Rattus norvegicus: one gene and its partner. The protein of the gene in region 2 interacts with the protein of the main gene of each other region in a biochemical or structural test. Links are inferred from orthologs where the notes say so. Each region holds a gene or a part of one and is shown on either strand. Other genes may lie near its edges. The genes, in order: Pdk2 and Dlat.

Region 1 (2,837 bases), on a different chromosome or scaffold from region 2:
ACTGGGGGTACCCCGCTGGTGAGACGGCTTCTTCCCGTCCTCTGACTCCTGCTTTTTCAACTCCCAAGCATACTACCCCCCACCCCACATGGCTGTGTGACAACAGTCTCCTGTTTCGACTCTATGGCCACCCATCTCCCCGCTTGCTAATAGCCCCCCCGCCTGCTGATCATCTGCCCATCTGCTGAGCTGTCATGTGTCTTCAGTCCTCTCTCCTCGTTCTCCACATCATTGCTAGTTGCTGTCACCTCTGTCCCTGCTCCTGTGAAACAGGCGGTCCTGAGCTTAGGGAATGGACTCTAAGGAGCTTTTAACCACCCAGACCTCTGGGTAGACCTCTCCTGTCTCTCCCTGCTTCCTCTGCAGTCCCCCTGCCTTCCACCTACTCCCATCTGCTTCGGAGATGTCCCTTCTCCACCCCTGCCTGTCCTCAGTCCAGCATCCCTGACTCACTGTATGACCTGTGGCCCCTCTGTAGGCTGGCTTTGGGTATGGACTCCCCATTTCCCGCCTCTACGCCAAGTACTTCCAGGGGGACTTGCAGCTCTTCTCTATGGAGGGCTTTGGGACAGATGCTGTCATCTATCTGAAGGTGAGGCCCGCCAGGGGGCAAACTTGCTGCTAGCAGGTCTCTACCCATCCCTCATCCTTCCTGGCCCCAGACTCATAGCTGAGCCTTGGCTCCTCGAGTGCTGTAACTTTAAACTAATATGGTGGGCAACTTCAGGGGGTCCAAGGTCTACGAGGAAGGCCCCTTCTTCTGAGGAGCCATGGGCTAGAAGGATGGGGGACCTTACAGATCTTGAACTTCAGTTGAGAGGAAGTGTGCCTTGGTGTTAATAGGGGTCACACAACCCAGCCTCCTCCCCTTGATCCTTTTTACCTCCCTGACCTTTGAGGGGACGGCTTCATGGAATGGGCCAGGGCAAGACACAGAAGGCTCAGACCCTTTTAGGGGATTTTCTGGGCCTGGGGCAGTGTCTCAGATAATGTCTGATTATGGGGCTTAGACTTGAGTTACGACTCCGGGGATGGAGACCATCAGGGCCTGGGTGACTGAAGGGCAGTAAGCAGGGCCTGGGCAAGCAGGAGGCTGATGGCAGTGCTCTCTAGGCCCTGTCCACGGACTCAGTGGAGCGCCTGCCTGTCTACAACAAGTCTGCCTGGCGCCACTACCAGACCATCCAGGAGGCCGGTGACTGGTGCGTGCCCAGCACAGAGCCCAAGAACACATCGACGTATCGGGTCAGCTAGGGGCCTTCTCTTCCTGGCACCTGGGAGGATGCTGCCACCTCTGAATCCAGCCACCACAGGGACTTCCCTATCTATCCCCTGGGGTACGGGGGTGAAACTGGGTCTCCCCGATGGCCAGATCTGTCTTTGTAGAAATCGCAGTGGCCCATCTGTGGCGATCCCTAAGTGCCAATCTGTCTCTATGGAGAAACCTAGGGGGTTTCCCTGGAGCCTGGTCTCCATGGTGATGATGCTTGAGGGTTGGGGACGGCTCTACCTGGTGGGGTGCCCCAGAGACACTTCTCCCAAGACCAGAGCTGTCTGTTTTCTACCAGAAACCCTGGGTCCCCCTCACTGCCTGCATAGTCCTGGTCTCCCACGTGGCTGCCTCGCTTGCCTTATGCCCACACCCTGTACAGGCACATTGGGCTGGTTTCTTCGTCAGTAGTAAGAAAGATGGAGAGAGACTGGGGAAACGGGGGCCAACCTTGTCTCTGGTCCTGCAGCCTCTCTCCATCTCCACTCTGGACACTAAAGTTGCCACTGGGAACTTGAGAATGGGTGGCCGTTCTCACCCAAGGCCCACCGAGAAGGCCTAAGAGTAACCTGTCCCCAAGGCGATCTTAGCAATGTTTCTGCCGCTTCCTGGCCTGGCATGTCCTCACGTGTATACCTCCCCTGCCCAGTCTACGCTCACCCTATCCCTGCTTGAGCTTTAGACCCCAGACTTCCTATGCCCACTATGTGTGCACAGACGACTCAAACCCAGGATGCCCCATGTACATAGCCAGTTTTGTAATCTCAGATGCCTCACCCTTGCCCTCCGCACACAGGGGTTAAAGCCGTGTGCCCCTCCCAGTGGCTGGGATGGTGACAGTGACATCCACAGTAAATAGATGAAATGTGACTGCTGCCTGGCTTCCTTGCGGAGGGGAGGGGATGTCCATACACAAAGCACCTGTGAGGACTGACTCCTCAGGATCTGGCCAAGCTGGTGAGCAGAGCATGCCACCAGGCTGGGCCATCCACTCACTCACAACACCTGGCACCCTATCGCCCAATGGCACTCAAGGAATCGCTTAGTCCCGTGTCCCAGACAGAAAGATCACTGGTGTGTGGTAAGTATTTATTGAAAGAAGTTGATAACCATCTTCCCCCTTCACATGCAGGTGGGCACACTTGGCTCCTGACGGCTTCAGGGACAGTCGGGCCTCCACCCTCCCCACCCAGTCTAGGAAGTACCAATGCCCCTATACCTTAGTTTCCCTCTGAGGCCCCACTCCCAGTGCAGATGACTGAGCCCAAACACAGGGCCCTGGCCTTCAGCCATTTTCCCAGGCAGGAGAGAGGGAGTTAGCATGCAGGTCCTGTCCACCCCTCCAGGAAACTGGGAGGGGTGGGGGTTTCTCATCAGAAACCTGGGCCCAGTAGTAACTGACCAGCACCCAAGAAGCTGGGTCAGCATGACACCTGGACCCTCTTATCTCTGAACACATCCTACAAAGGACACGTGCCAGTCCCATCCAGGACTGGCCCAGTCCCCCTCTGTAGCCTAGCAAACCTAAGCCAGCAGTATGTCCACTGTAGGCCTACTGAGGCACCTG
Region 2 (3,826 bases):
GGGCAGAGGAAATGCACATCTAAAGCTTGGCAACAAGCACCTTTGACCACACCAAACCATGGCGCTGGCCCTTGCTTTTCCTTTAAGGCAGAATCATTTCTTCTAATAGCTATGAGGGAATCAGGCACAGTAGTACACGCCTGTAATCCCAGCACTTGAACTTCAGTCTCATCTCAAAGAAAAAAGGAGGAGGAGGAGGAGGAGGAGGAAGAGGAAGAGGAGGAAGAAGAAGAGGAGGAAAGAGAGGAAGAAGAGGAAGAAGAGGAGGAGGAAGAGGAGACAGAGCATGAGGAAGAGGAGAGGAAGAGAAGGAAGAGGAAGAGAAGAGGAGGAGGAAGAGGAAGAAGAGGAGGAGAAAAAGACTATTAAAAAGTACAGTATGTCAAAGAATAAGCTAGTGAGAAGGGGTCTTACTCTTTGATTGGCACTTGCCCTAGGCTACCAAGAGAATGGTGAAGAGCACTGTCTGTGACCACTACTGCCTGATGATGATGTCCTGCTCTGTCACTATGGCATAGATAAGCCTTCTGCTTCTAGAAACCATGGAAGAGTGGAAGGAGTTAATGACACCTAGGATTACAATAGACGCAAGCACAGATACATGACTGCATAGTGGATAAATCAATGAAGGGGCACATGGAACTGTGATACACATGAAGACCAACATCCCTGTCACTTTCAGATTATGAGACTCATCTACACCCTGGGTACTGTTTTCTCTCAGAATTACCTGAAAGGCTTTGGTATTCTCCTGCCCTAGAGGGCGTAACTTTCTTCCTCCTCTCTCTTTCTTTTCCCATGTTAAGACAATGGCAGTTCTGGTACAACTTCTGAGTACCATAAAAATATAGCCATGAGAGCGAACTGGGCCTAAGAATAGACCCTGACATATCCTCCAGCGATGAGTACAGCTCAGAACTGACATGTGTGGCTGTGATGACTTTGCTGTAAAATATGTTCCAGGCAGCAAATCTCAGGACTGTAAACGTCACATTATCACTCACTCAGTTCAGGAAAGGATGGCCATCCTCCTCCTCCTCAACTACCCAGAGCTGAAGAATCTCACCTATGGTGGCCTTGTCGGTCTCTATCTCTGCCAGCAAGTCTCCTTCACTCAGCTTCTCTCCCACTTTCTTTTCCCACCTCTGGACGGTGCCCATGGTCATGGTTGGGGAGAGGGCAGGAAGAACAATCTGCAGAGACAAATGCCACTCATCAATGCTTAACCAGAAAGCACTACACAGAAAAGCATTCAGTGCAGTGAGACCTTGTCACCCATCACAAGTCTTTGTCAATCCTTTTCCCAATTAAAGCATCCTTCAGAACCAGACACCCTAACCCATCCTCTATCCTCCAAAGTGAAAAGCAACAGGGAGACAGGAAAGATTTCTTTCATATGGTCAAAACAACCCCCCTACACACACACACACACACACACACACACACACACACACACACACACACACACACACACACACACACACAGTATCTTTGCAACCAGGTTACTGGTTCTTAATTTCTAATGCTGCTACAGGGAGACAGGAAAGATTTCTTTCATATGGTCAAAACAACCCCCCTACACACACACACACACACACACACACACACACACACACACACACAATCTTTGCAACCAGGTCACTGGTTCTTAATTTCTAATGCTGCTACCCTTTAATAGTTTCTCATGATATGGTTACCCCCAGGCATAAAAATAGATTTGTTGCTACTTTATAACTGTAATTTTGCTGTTATGAATCTAATGTAAGTAGCTGATATGCAAATATCTGATTGTGACCCATGTGAAAGGGTTGTTTGGCCCCTGAACGGGCCGTGACCCATAGGTTGAATGATCTTGGTGGAGACAAAGCACTCTGCTGAATTTGTTGTGTTCTTCAATAAGCATCTTTTCACCCATAAGAAACCACACTTATTTCACACACACACCTAATAAGTGTGTGTGTGTGTGTGTGTGTGTGTGTGTGTGTGTGTGTGTGTGTATTAAATTAAGGGCTAGAGAGAGGGCTAAGTGCTCAAGAACACTTGCTCTTGCACAGGACCTGAGTTTGGGTCTCCATGGGTCAGTTCCCAACCACCTGTAACTCCAGCTTCAGTGAATCCAATCCTGCCTCTGGGAATACCAGCATGCACATGACACACATGTGCACACACGATTTTTAAAAATGAACATTAGAGCTCTTCCTGGAACAAAGGATGAGGTTCAATAGTAGAAGAGTAGCTGACTAGAAGAACAATACATTATATTTTTTGAGACTTTTTAAAAAAAAAACAAAAAACACTCTCTCTCTCTCTCTGCGCGCGCGCACGTGTGTGTGTGTGTGTGTGTGTGTGTGTGTGTGTGTGTGTGTATGTGTGTGATATGCACAGGTGTACATAACATAAATGTCCAGTACAGAAGTCTGTGCTATCTCCCTCATTTCCTTGAGATAGGGAAGTCAACAAGCCTTGCTCTCTAACTCTGTCTTTGCTCCTTATAGCACTATGGTCACAGAAGAGGACTTACCCCCACGATGACCTCTACACAGATAAATGCAGTGTACCCACACACACACTAAATGCATATAAAAAAATTTGTATTTTGGACATGGTTTCTCTGTATAACAGCCATGGCTGTCTTGGAACTCAATTTGTAGACCAGGCTGTCCTCAAACTCACAGAGATCTGCATGCCTCTGCTTCCAGTGTGCTGGAATTAAAGGCCTGTACTACCATGGCCAGCTGATACATATACGTTTTTACTTGCATTCCTATTTATATAATTGTGTCCACTAAATTTGGGTGGCTGTCAGTTATCTGCTATCTTCTTTGTCTTTTAAATAGGAATAGCCTTATAGTAAGGAAAAAAATCATTTCAGTCAAAATTGTTTCTAGAAGTGGGGGAAAAAAATAAAACAAGACAGAAAATTCTTTTCTGGTTTTTTGTTTGTTTTTGTTTGGTTTGTTTTTTGTTTGTTTGGCTTCTGCTTGAGTGCTGGGATTAAAGGTGTGAACCACCACGCCTGCAAGACTTAGAAATTCTTTAAAAATTATTTTCGGTTCATAGTTTCTTTTCTTTGTTGCATAATCACCAGTGAGTAAGTGAAAGTATAAGTGTGTGTGTGAGTGTGTATGTGTGTGTGTATGTGTGAGTCTGTGTGAGTATGTGTGTGAGTCTGTGTGTGAGTCTGTGTGTATGAGTGTGTATATGTGTGTGAGTGTGTATGTATGTGTATATGTGTGTATGTGTCTGTGGGGGGGTGGGGAGAAATATACTCATTTATGTATCTTTACCATCTCAAAGGATTCTTAGGGCCCAATTCTAACACTTCAACACAAAGTAGGATAAAATGGAGAAACGAGGTCTTATGCAATAAAATAAGGTTGCTGAACTGAAAGAAATAACCATGAAAGCTAAAGACCAAGAAAAATGCCATCATAAGGGATTGTTAGCAATAGAAATGGAGCATGATTTCCAGAGAGAAACTGATTCACCCAGAAAACTTCTCATAGGGTTAAGGAAAGGTCAAATCTTTTTTTTTTTTTAATTTATTTATTTATTCAGACACACCAGAAGAGGACATCAGCTCTCATTACAGATGGTTGTGAGCCACCATGTGGTTGCTGGGATTTGAACTCAGGACCTGTGGAAGAGCAGTCAGTGCTCTTAACCACTGAGCCATCTCTCCAGCCCGAAAGGTCAAATCTTAATCCTGTACATTTTACTTCCCACATCAAGACCACACAGGGGGTTGGGGATTTAGCTCAGTGGTAGAGCGCTTGCCTAGCAAACGCAAGGCCCTGGGTTCGGTCCCCAGAAGACCACACAGACA

Evidence for each region.
Region 1: the proteins of Dlat (region 2) and Pdk2 form a complex in vitro, tested with the Homo sapiens proteins (2 studies listed by BioGRID). The link is inferred for Rattus norvegicus from reciprocal best matches to the Homo sapiens genes DLAT and PDK2.

What each region holds. Positions count from the first base shown.
Region 1 is NC_086028.1:80,468,691-80,471,527, reverse strand, and holds the end of Pdk2 (pyruvate dehydrogenase kinase, isozyme 2), read left to right. Parts: coding exon 1-18; intron 19-478; coding exon 479-592; intron 593-1,103; coding exon of another isoform or gene 1,104-1,113; coding exon 1,114-1,254; 3' UTR 1,255-2,137; downstream 2,138-2,837. UniProt on the Homo sapiens protein: Kinase that plays a key role in the regulation of glucose and fatty acid metabolism and homeostasis via phosphorylation of the pyruvate dehydrogenase subunits PDHA1 and PDHA2.
Region 2 is NC_086026.1:59,894,290-59,898,115, forward strand, and holds part of Dlat (dihydrolipoyllysine-residue acetyltransferase component of pyruvate dehydrogenase complex, mitochondrial), read right to left. Parts: intron 1,194-3,826; coding exon 1,067-1,193; intron 1-1,066.